Linked DNA regions of Drosophila melanogaster. The protein of the gene in region 1 interacts with the protein of each later gene in a pairwise test. Each region holds a gene or a part of one and is shown on either strand. Other genes may lie near its edges.

What was found.
Region 2: the proteins of CG3649 (region 1) and CG15478 interact in a two-hybrid assay, tested with the Drosophila melanogaster proteins (one large-scale study listed by BioGRID).

What each region holds. Positions count from the first base shown.
Region 1 is NT_033778.4:22,844,138-22,848,711, reverse strand, and holds CG3649 (uncharacterized protein), read right to left. Parts: upstream 2,736-4,574; 5' UTR 2,696-2,735; coding exon 2,662-2,695; intron 2,600-2,661; coding exon 2,054-2,599; intron 1,800-2,053; coding exon 1,135-1,799; intron 1,085-1,134; coding exon 869-1,084; 3' UTR 801-868; downstream 1-800. Other genes in the region: CG13531 (uncharacterized protein), read left to right, coding at 1-284, 354-515, 574-793.
Region 2 is NC_004354.4:7,712,215-7,720,055, forward strand, and holds CG15478 (uncharacterized protein), read right to left. Parts: upstream 5,719-7,841; 5' UTR 5,577-5,718; intron 2,903-5,576; exon of another isoform or gene 2,757-2,902; intron 2,278-2,756; 5' UTR 2,270-2,277; coding exon 611-2,269; 3' UTR 569-610; downstream 1-568.

The DNA.
Region 1 (4,574 bases):
TTTGCCGCGCAGTCCAATAAGCTAAAATGCTCCGTAGAGGTTCAAACACTGTTGCAACAGGCCTTGGAAAATTACACACATGCAACGGAGAACTATTTGTTGGATAACAAGCTTCTGCTCGCCCAGCAAAGTGTTTCTCGAGCCGAGCTGATGGCCATGCAACTGGATCTGTGCAACAAAGCACTCGAAAAAAGGCACAGCAATAACGCGAATCATTTGTGTGTCAGCGTCATTGGAGTGCGTTCTAGGGAACAGTTTCGGGAGCTAGTCAACGTCCATTTAAGGTATGCAAAAGCTTTACATCAAAGGACTAACTATTTAAATAATTGGTTGTCATTATGTTTCTATTCTAGCGTACCTCAAGCTCTGATTCTGAGTCGCGCCTATGGTTATGATATTAGTTGGAGCGAAGCCATCTTGTCTCAATTCGTTGTGCTTCAGGGAGTCAATTATCTGCAGGAATATCTGTGCCATCAGCGCATCAATGATGATGTAATCGAACAGATTGTTAAGGGGTATGTGTTTGGCTGGCCTGACTTTATCTTCCTCCTTGTTATGATTATATTATTTCAGTTATTTGCTGCACATCCAAAGTAATGCCACGAACTCAAAACAGGAAGAGTCGATGGTTCAGCTGGTGGGACTGATCAAGTCCGTGGTTCTCAAATACAAGCTGGCATCCATTTTGGGCTTCAAGTCCATCGTGATGTCCTTAATCAACGATTCCTCCGTTTATTATCTTAGAGATACAAATTTCGGTCGTACCGATTTCCACACAGCAGGAGATACGTGACATAAATACCATTGTGATTTTAAACTGTTTTTATACAACAACATTAGCACTGATTACGTTATTACAAATATACATTTACAAATAGTTAAATCTCTCGACGGATATCGTTTCCTCGGCAACTGAGGGAGCCGATGCCTGGGGCTTTGGTGATGCTTCTGTTTCGGTCTCTTTGGATGGGGAATCATTCCAGGACTGGACGGTCATTTGACCAAAGATTAGGTACATCAAGTTGCCGAGGAACAGAATCACCGAAATGCCAAGGAAAACTGTTCGCCATTGCGATCGATCCGACTGAAATAAAATAAAGTTAATCAATTTACTTAACTATCCAAATTACTTACCTCTTTGGTTACGGTCAGCCCAATGACGATTGGCGATATCACACCAGCCGCAGACATCAGTGTGTTGCTCATCCCAAACAGGAGTCCAGCAAAGTTTGGCGACAAGTCCACGTGGTTAAGGGAACTGCCAATGGCCTGTCCGGAAATGGCAGCTGTGGCTGCAATCAGACAAAACATACTGCCCACCACATTCTGATCGCTGACGTAGGATAGGATAACCAGGGCTACAGCAGGGGTCCATGTGGCAAAGGAATTAATGGTCTTCCGTAGGATAGGCAATGAAATGTCTCGACGACGGGTTAGGTATTCAGCCAGGAAAATGAATCCGTAGGATGACATCAGCATGACCACAAAGGGCAGAGCTGAGAGCAGGGCATTTGCCGCAATGCTGTAGTGGAATATACCGTGGATGTAGCGCGGAATCTGTTGCATCAGCGTGTAGAAGCTGCACGCCTGGCTCATTTTGCAAAACGCCAGGACGATAAATGGACGAGAGGTGAGGATCTGGAGCCACGGTACTGGAGGAGTTGCACCGCGAATCACCTGATTCTGCTCGAGGGCAAATTGAATGTGCTTTCGTTCCGCCAGAGAAATGAATTTCGATTCGGATGGGCTGTTGGCGCCATATCGCAAGAAAGTAAGGCACCACACGATGCCTAAGTATCCTGAAATTGAAATCAACACTTGGTAAATATATGTGTTCTATTTAATATAGTATATAAGCTAAAACCTATGCCTAAACCATACTTAATCAGTTTTTGCTTTAGAGTTATGTCGTAGGTAAGTAAAATGATAAATACAGCTATAAAAGTGTCATTAGGATTTACTGCTAGTTTAACGTGTCTTTAGAAGAGTTCCGCAGTTGTTTCTGTTACCCGGGGCTGTCTAAGGAGTAAATGATTATCTATATAGAACTCACCTGGCACGTAGAATGTGCTGGGCCACCCGAGGGGCGATGCAGAGAGTACGCCACTCAAAGCGAATCCCATTATTGTCCCACAATCCAAGCCAGTGGTCATGATGCCGCCCATGCGATTGGCCTCCTTCTTGGGACACCACTTGGCCAGATGGGTGTACAGGCAGGGCCACATGCCGCCCATGGCGAGTCCCTGGACGAATCGCACCCAGAAGAGCAGCTGCCAGCCGCCCCAGGCCAAGGCGAAGGGCGTGGCAATGCTGAGCAGAGCGGTGAGCAACATGATGGTCAGCAGCAGCACCTTGGCTCCAAAGCGACTCGATAGGTATCCACTCATCATCTGGGTGCAGCAGGAGCCCCAGAAGGGACTGCTGATGGTGTACGACTTCTGAGGCTCTGTCAGTCGGTATTCCGGATAATTTGGGTTGCTGCTATTGGCATTCGTAAAGGCCACAATGGCCACGCTCATGTTGAACCTCTGGGCCACGATCAAGGTGGCGCACAGAAAGAGGAACAGTACCTGCAGGTGGCGAACGCCCCACATGGGACCTGCGAAAACAAATGACTCTTGCAACGAACTTGACACGCGCATTGAAGTACCAGCTCCTCACCCTTTACCACCAAGTTGAACGATTTTATCGTCATTGAGCGGCGCAACGACCAATGCGTTCACCTCAAGTCACCGAACTGCATGTTCAAAAAATTGGCAATGCCAGCTAATAAGCAGCTTCAACAAAATTGTGCTGCGAAACTAGTTTACAAGCCAAATCGTCAAACAGGCTCCTCCGAAACTTGAATTCTTTCCTCGTGCCGCTGGCAGTGGTGCAACCGAGTTCTAGGCATATATGTTGCATTCTTCAATAAGAATGATTTGGATATGGAGGCATCGAAAGTGAATCCACATATTTGAGGGCGCGAAAGAGCCAATACTCTTACTATTCCTCTAGTCTACATCTAAATAAATGTGATTCTTAACTATTTAAAATATGTAAACCTAGATTTTTTAACTTTGCATAGGTAAATATTAATATTAAATAAAAACAAAAAACAAACAAACATTTTTAGAAAAATTATACATATACTTCCAAAACTAGAAGAGGAAGTTTTAGAAATGAAAACAAATGAAGTAACTTAATTTTCCAGCTGAAGATGCTCATCTCATAAGCGGTAGTCAATCATAATGGTTTATTGACAGTTTTACGGCCGAATGGGAAGCCAAGCCAGTTAAATTGCTGATCCAATAACTCACAGTCTCGTGGGAGCAATAGTTGTGTACAAATACAAACAATAACAATGACGGGTGCGAATCGTTTGCTCTTATCAGAGGCTAAATAAAGCGCCGGCAGTTAGCCAGGTGCTTTATATCAATCGCCAGAGCCAATTACAATCACTTAGTTCCGGGCACTAGATTGCTATTTTATCAAATGGCGAGGCGATCGTTAAGCTATAATTATGGGCGAATTAGCAGCTGATAAGATAAGGACAGGAGACCTTACTCAACTTAAGTAGGCTAGTCTCAGACAGGGATTCCACCATTACGAGCTATAGGTCCCAGACTAGATGACGGGTTTGCAGATAAGATCTTAAGTGGTAGCAGAATAAGCGAAATATCCTAGGTGCCAATAGTAAACAATGCGTATGATTAGAATGCCAGAAAGCTAGAATAAAAATATATACATATATGTAACATGGAGTAAGGCTGAAGGCTGGCAACAACCCGGTTGGCAGCGCTGTTGAGCAGCAACATGATTGTCGGAAATCGAAGTTATCGACAATCAGTCATCGAAGGAACGATCGCAAGGCAGCAGTGGAGTGGAGTGGAAGTCAGCGTTGCAGTCAGTCGAGTTCTCAGCAGCAGTCGTTCGGTCACAAACTAAGAATACTTTATATAATTACCGCATTTAGAATTAAATTAATAATAAACAATAATAATAAACAATCTTACATGGGGGCTCGTCCAGTCCTAAATCGGTTATATGAAGGTGCAGTTGTTTAAAGAAAAAAGACATTGTTGTGTGCGTGGGTATAGTCTTTAAAAGTTGTAAAGTTGTGGCTATATCTATTGCATTTAAAGTTGGAAAAATCAGTTGTACAGATTTTGTTTGAACACAAGTCGGTAAAAGTCGGGAAAGCTGCTAGAGAGAACTGATAAAGTTGAAATTGTCGTGTGCGTGGATTTAGTCTTTAAAGTTGTAAAGTTATGGCTACGTCTACTGCATTGAAAGTTGAAAAAATCGATTGAACTCATACAGACTCAAGTCGTTTTGCTGTTGTGGAATTTAAAACAATTAAATTGCAAAGGTGGTGAAATTCGTTTCTAACGAAAATCAAAATTTGTCTTTTAACCGGTGGCGCCGTCTGCAAAATCGACTACCGTCGCGCCGTTAGAACATTGTCGTTGTTTGCTGGTGTTAGTGCCTTGTCGCGGAATGTTCACACGTACACCACCTACAAATAAAAAACTTAACACCGACCAAATACAAGCAATTCTAGAGAACGAAAGCGAGGACGAAAGCAGAAAAGA
Region 2 (7,841 bases), on another chromosome or scaffold:
AATGAATGGTGTAAAAATTAATATCCTGTGGGGCTCAAATGAAAAAAGAATAAAAAAAAAAAAAAAACGAGGAATGCAAGAGAACTGTGGCGGGAATTGGGTGGCATTGTCATCGTCAGCAGCAGCAGCCGGCAGCAGTTTTAATTTACACAAAGCGTAGTCAGGCGTGTAATGCTCGGTGGCGGTATGATGAAGGCTCCTTTTTTATGTGGCGCCCAACGTTGGTGGGCCTGAAGCTCGACAATTCGTGCAACGACATTTAAAAAATGCCTTAAGGCAGCAAATACGTGGAAGATGAACCAACAGGCGACGACGACGGCGTGAAATGATTTATGAAATTACTTTTACCGTTGCATATTTCTAGGGGCAGGGAAACTTCAACTTGGGCCACAGTTTCAGTTACAAGCTGTCATGTTTATTTGCAAAGAAACGTTGATTTGATAGATCTCTATCATTTTGTTGTATAAGCATTTATTGAGCGCGTAACTGTTTCTTCTTATTCTTCAAGTTACTTACCTTCTCAAAACCACCAATTTCTGTAGAAAATGAAATAAACAATGATCATATTATGGACACATTAACTTTATTCGTATTATTTAAATAAGTAGCCTCAATCGATTTGCGTGATGGAAGCCTCGTCATTGCTGGAACATCGACTGCTCTCGCCATCCGTGCGATACTTGATGGAGTCAATGATCTCCACATCGATGTCACAATTGCCCTGATTGCCGCTCGTTCCCTCCAAACCGGCACCCGTATCACTGGAATTTCGTTCCAGTGAATCTTCATCGCAAAGATCGGGTGCCGAAAGTGAGGCACTAACCGATGCCGATTCCGACTTGGCATCGATATCCTGACTCTGCACCTGCGCCTGATGGGCGGCAAACTGACTGTAAAGGCGTGGCAGATGTTGCAACATATAGCTGGCGCCCGATTTCGATAAGTTTGCAGCTGCAGCAGCGGCAGCAGCGGCTGCCGAAAGATTAGCAGCCGTACTGGACGGTTGATTTTCCTTAGTCTCGCCCAGATCATAGTATTTGGCATAGTGCTCGAATTTGTTGCCCAATGTGCTGGTGGTCACTGCACCACCACCGCCGGCGTTTGATCCTGCCGCATTGGCGCACAGATTGATGGCATCGTTTTGGGCCGCCTTGGGTATGGGTACAGTGAAGGCGGAGCCATGACGCTGTTTGCTCAGCAAATTACTGGCCAAACCGGAAGCGGAAGTGGCGCCCGAGCTGGAACACGAGCCGGGTGAACCTTCTTCGGCAAGTGCATTATTGCTACTCGAAAGCGGTGAGACATTCTCCTTCTTTCTATCGTATATATGTCCGGAAACGCGAAGATCGATGAAGAAGTGCAACGGATCGATGCCGTAGGGTGCATAAAGTGGTGGATACCAAACCGGTGGTGGTGGCGGCAGGACCAAATCCTGTGGTGGCAACGATGCCGCCGGCGGTGTATTGTCCTGCAGGTTAGTGTCGACGGCACCACCCAGACCACCAGTCTTATTGCCAGCCGTTGGTGGTGCCGTCGTTGGCGTTGGCGGTGTTATACCCATAGCACCTGGTTTGGTTTCCATTTTGGCATAGCCATAGGGTGTCATTGCCTTATTGGTCAGCTCTAGAGGTTTCTCCGGCACCAGTTGCTGCTGAAGTTGCTGATGTTGCTGCTGCTGATGCTGTTGATGTTGCTGCTGCTGCTGCTGCTGCTGCTGGTGTTGCTGCTGCTTCTCCTCTGCATCGCGTCGCTCCCGCAATTGCTCGTAGTATGGACGATGCGACCAGGAGCGTTTTCTTGGCCGCCTCACCAAGGCGGCCTGATGTTGCTGCTGCTGTTGTTGCTGTGCCTGCTGCTGCTGCTGCTGCTGTTGCTGCTGCAGCTGCAAGACACGCGCCGTCTCATTATTTCGCGCTTGCACCAAGGAACGCAGCATATCGCTGAAAAAGAAATTATTTGGTCCCACGGGTGCGGAATACAAATACGGTGGTGTGGCTGCCATTAAACGACTGACGTAGTCCTGATTTCTTAGCTCATGGATGTTGCTCTTGCTGCGTTGCTGCGGATTTTGCGGATTCGTTGCGGTTGGATCTGCAGCAGATGCTGCTGCCGCCGCTGCTGCTGCTGCTGCTGCTGCTGTTGTGGGCGTACTAGGCGCACTGGGCGTGGCATTGCTGGTGGTTACCCCTGCTGACGCTACTGCTCCTCCCGTTGAGCATGGCATCCCTGCTGTGTTGCTCGACGAGATGCTGTTACTGCTGTCCTTCATTGCTGCTGCTGTTGGAGAAAAAAAGTTAAGAACACACAAAAGACGTTGGCTCAGTTCTGTGGCTGAAGTCACTTGAAATTTATATTTGTATAGGGATATATATTTGCATTGTCTTGGACTGGCATTCCACCGCCTTTTCCATGCTCCCGCCCAACCATTACCCACGGGACAATTAAATCTGAATTTTCTGTTTGCTCCGAGTGAATCTGTCTCGATGTATAAATGTGTGTGAGTTTTCTCGGTTGGCAAGGAAGTCTAAATAATGACTGAAGGGACTTGGTGTTGAACTTGAAAGCGTCTTAAGATTGACTGAAAATCCAAGATGTTAGCAAATGGAATGTAATTGATAGAAAAGTAGATTAGAAATCAGTTCAAGCATTAAGCATCAAGCCCGCAACCTTTAGAGTCCTGTATTCGTATAATTGTAATAGCATAACTGCCATGTGCATCAAATCCATTGTTCCACAGCTGCCGTCAGCTAAGCTACCTTTATTATAACTTTATTAAGCCAACATCTGTGCCCAGCACCCAAAAAACAAATGAAATTTGCATAGAAAAACAGGCGCGCAAGTTCCCTCACTCTCCGTTATCCCCATAATTTTTTTTCCGTCTCCAACTCCCCGCTGATCCCTTAAAAGCTGTTAATAAGCTTACACACATCGCGCCAAATTCCAGTAAATTAAATGTTTCAACAGCAGTGACACCCAACCACCCTCATTGCCGCCTCCATTTCCGCGAACGTTGGAGGACAAACTCAATTGTTGTGTTGCCAAACTGTTGAGGCACTTGACGCTGTGTCCTGGCTGCTTGTATCCTGTGCCGCCTGTGTGCCTGTCAATTCTAACCAGGAACAGTACAGAATCACGCATTGAAGGACCCCCCCCCCCCATTTCCACGACTCCATTGCCTTGTTGCTCTTTCATTTTCGCATTTAAAAAGTTTTTAACAACCCACAGACGACGCCTGTTACCGAATACCCTATAATAAAACGAAAGTAATATCAAGGAGTACACAAATTGAACAATTTGAAGGCATTACTTAGTTTGTGAACTTTGAATTAATCCTTCATGATTTTTTCCTTCTATGGTTTCTATGGTTTTTTCGAAAACGAAAAACATAATTTGCAATTATTCATTATAGAATATATTGCATTTTTAGGTATCATCAGCTTCTATACGATTGCTTGGAACATTCATTTGCATTCCTTCTGTTTTTTCCGTTATTCCATGTTGGATTTGTGGAATTTTTTATTTTTATATTGTTTTTTCATTTCGTTGTAAAAATATATAAAGTTTTCAACCGTCGCAAAAGGAATATATGATTGGGGGTTTCGGAGGCGGAGATTTTCAAACGGACGGGTGTTGATTTGCATTTTTTGGCAGCCGTTGTTCGTGAGAGGTAAAAATGTTGGTTAGGGCGACATTTTTGCGACAAAGTTAAAATTAGATTATGCTAATTAAGGCGCGGTGGTTGTGGGCGGTGATAGGCGTGGCCAACCCGGCATCTGGTACTCGGTGGAAATTCCGTTGATTTTCCCCGGCACTGATTGATGCTGGGCAGAGCTTTAATTGCCAGTTTCTCTTCTCATTTTTAAATTGGTTATGGCTGTGGTGGCTCTGGAGCAACTGGCAGCATTTTAATATTCAATCAGCAGCTGTCGGCCAACTTTCTTTTATGGCCCATGCCCAAGTTTGTGCATAAGTTTTGCAGCTGAGAATAAGTCCGAGAACTAAAAATATGGAGCTGAGATTAATGCGCAAAGTGCATCCGACTTTTGTTTGTCTTTCGTCTGGGGATAAGCTGAGTACTAACTTTTGCGAAATTCTTTTTTTTTCCCCTTCTCAAACAGCGTGGCAATTAAAACCAGAGTAGAAAGTAATCCCTCCACTGGATTCCCCTTGGGTGGTGATCCACCCACTCAAGGCTGCCCAGCTGATTGATGTCGCATCATCGATGTTAAATTTAAGCCACCACCGGAAAATAGAAGAGCCGATTGGGATTGCGGGCAACCCCTGTAAGCGTACACTTAACTGGCACTTGGGCTGGGCAACCTTATAACATAATTACTGCATATCAAACAGCGATAAGTTGCCCATGCCACTTCATTCCGAAATCACTCTGGAGTTCATCTTCCCACCCATGGAGTTGGTTAGCAACCCTCCTCGTGCTCACCTGGTGTGCAACCCTGAACGAAGTCTATGTTCGCATTTTGTGCCATTCAGGCGCGGTTGTAATCTTTGTAAAGCGTGATGTATCGTGTAATTGGCGCCCAATGTGGGGCTTTATGAACAGTGGATTGTTATCGGGTTAGTTAAATAGTTTCAAAGGATGAAGAATTGGAAAATATGTAGCTGCCTAAGAATGTAAATCTGAAATTAGCTAATAATTTTAAATATAAAAAATTTTTTTATGACCAAACTAGATCGCTCAAATGACTAATAAATAACATTTTTAACCCTTGCTCGTTAAGCGTCCTGCCTGTTCCTGCCCTGTGTTTAAGCCACCCCGCTCATATCCACGCACATATGGGGACAAATGAACTTGTTGGTTTGTTGGTGACATGGCGTTGTGGTGTTAACGTTACAGCGTTTGACTGCGAATTAAAATAATGTGCCACTTGTGGCTTTCTGTCCATGTGTGTCGGCTACAGCAGACAGTTACCCCTGCCCCGCATCCGGGGAACTCTGTCCCGTGTATGTTGTCCGTATTCGTGTCCGTTTGGGTTGCCTGAAAATTTGACAAAATTTCATTTGCAACTTTGCCCGCTGCCAGAGATACGCATGCATCACAACGTTTTTCAAAATCGAATTTGCGTTGAACCCTTTCTGACAGGTTCTTCGTGTAGATTGATCTGGGATTTTGCAAAGGGTTGAAGTAAAGTGCAACCCCTGGATGCGTTTGAATTATGGCTAAATAATTTCTCCAATGAAAATTTGAAGTTTAGCTTGGATTGTTTCGGTTCATAGACTGACTGAAGTGCATAAAGTATTTTTGGTTTTATTCTAATCATTTGGATTAAATGTTTCAAGAAAGATTAGTAAAGTTCTTGGGTTTGTTAGGCTTTGATCGAAAAGTTTAATTGTAAACGAATGCCTTATGAAGCTTATATATAAGATTTTATTAGCTTATTATTAACCTTATTAAAATATCAGGTTAATTATTAAGAATGTCCAAATTGTGTTTTATTAAAAGAGGAGTTCTTAAGTTGGAATATAATCATTGATTGCATTTTCACAATAATATTTTTTATAGACGCGTTTTTTTAACACATTCAAATCCGATCTTGCGAGCTGATCAATTTTCTCACCTATGATTACTATATTGATAGATATATTTGTTTAAAACTTATTTCACTTAAAAAAAATATATAAAATAATATAAGCACTGCTTGGGTAACGCGTTGCTAGCGGTCTGAACTGCCGTCGATGACAGTTAAAAATCAAATGAAATGAGTGCCAGCAGCGGCAACAGCAGGAAAGCAGAGCAGCATCCAACGAGTCCTGAGGCCGAGACAGAAACAGAAAAACAGAGACCGAGTACCAGAACCAGAACGAGGCGAGTTCGGTGCGATTTTAAAATTATGAATTGTTGTAAATGAAACGAGGCGTAAGCAGAGCGCCAGCAGAGCTGCTAGGTGGGTGGTGGTGCGCCACAGTCGCTGTGGCATTGGTGGTGCGCATCAGCAGCAGCAACATCGACTGTGGCAGTAGCAGTAGCAACATCACCAGCAGCAACAGTGCTAAAGTGTTCATGGAAACCACCCTCGAAGAAAGGTAAAAAGTTTTCAAAAAGACGACCAAAACTAGAGCGAGACGTAAGCTCATTGGTCTATGGGTTGATCGCTTCCGGTTGGTGCAGTCTTGCCAAATTTTACACGTTAAAGATCGACTGGGAAACGGAAGTAAAGAGACCTTCTTAAAATGGTTTTGTTTAGGTAATGAACTGCTTATTTGGCGCCCAACCTGGGGCTTATGTGCTTCGGAACACAAAGCATTATCATATCATGCATTATCATAAATCAAAATTCTAAGAATTAAATTCAAGAATAAGTGTTATATTTATTACTGTGATGGAACTTTTTTTTTCCACATTTCTCGGGCAACGTTCCCCGGTTTCAATTACCAATCTCTGGCGGATGTTGCCAGTGGAACAATGGATGCAGTCCTTGGCTACGGGCAACGTGTTGCTAAAACGACAGCTCAACTGCGGGAGTAGGTGGGTGATGGGCCGGTTTGAGCAGGATAAGCTTATAATTTCTATTACAATGAAGGCATGCGGATGCGGTTGGATATGTAGAGCGTTGCGTTGCTTTCTTTGCTTAATTTTTTGCTGCCACCGACTGTTTGCGACTTCATTAGCGACACCTCCCCACAAGCTGTTGCCAAGCAATTGCATCGTGTGTCTGTGTACGAAGATCACTGGAAAAATTTCACTGTTATTGGTATAGTTGTGTGTAGTTACTTGTTTGTTCTAGTACTCAGTGCTAAGACTTAAATAATCATAAATAATTATGATGAAGGTATGTGGATTTTATTTAAACATTTAACAGTGGCTATAGCATTTTTCGGCTGTGCATCTTTGCAACTTGCCATCGGCAATGGAATCTGAATCCAGAGCAATAGCTTTGAAAAACTCGTGTAGCTTTTTTTGCAGTTTGCTGGGCTGAGCTTGTTTGAAATAAATACCGCATTTTTTGGCTCGTCCTTTTTTGCACTAGTTGTTAGCTGTTGCCACACGTTGGTTGCGTGTTTGCCACCCACTCGCAGTATTAAAAAAAAAAAAAAAAAGAAAAGCTCCCATGGCTGCACATCAAACGTCAGCACGGAAGGAAGCTGTTTCTGTCCAGGGAGTTTGGGTATGGGCGTTTGGCATTCGGCATTGTCTAGCATTCCCCGCCATCACCCACCAAAAACCCACACCAAATCCATTTTTCCCTCACCCAACGGAGGCTGTGAATGTTTACACTTTGGATTTGGTTCTGGTCGTCGCATTTCCCTTCCACCTTTTTTTTTTTTAATTTTTGTTTGGACTCGACTCAGCTCGAGATTTTGAATACAACTCGGTTAACGGTTGTTATGGCAATCCGTTCGGAAAAGGGACCTGGTTTTATAGCGTGTAACAGCGGCTGTTGCAGTGGGGAAGCCCCTCGAATAAGTTGCAAGTTGGGGCGGTCAAAAGATGTGGAATTTCGAAAATGTTCAGCATATCAGAAAATGAAAAGTATGATCAAGGTACGCTGATGAATAAAGTGTGATTTAAATAGGTAGATCATAATATGTTTGAAATGCAGAGTTGCATTTCGATATTGTGTTGATCGATGAAAGTTTGAAGTGATGCTGATTCCTACATAAATTAAATATAAAATTAAATTTATAGTTATTTTCGAGGGACATGTTGCGTGCTTTTAACAATTTAAAGACACTATATCTTCCTCTCTTTTATAGCCGCATGCAACGTCTCACACATGCCACACAATTTGTGCCACTTTTGTGATGCGCATCCATTTCCGCTTGGGCGGCGGCACCACTTTCAACGCTCCACCCATCCGCCAAACCACTCGCTTGCCATATTA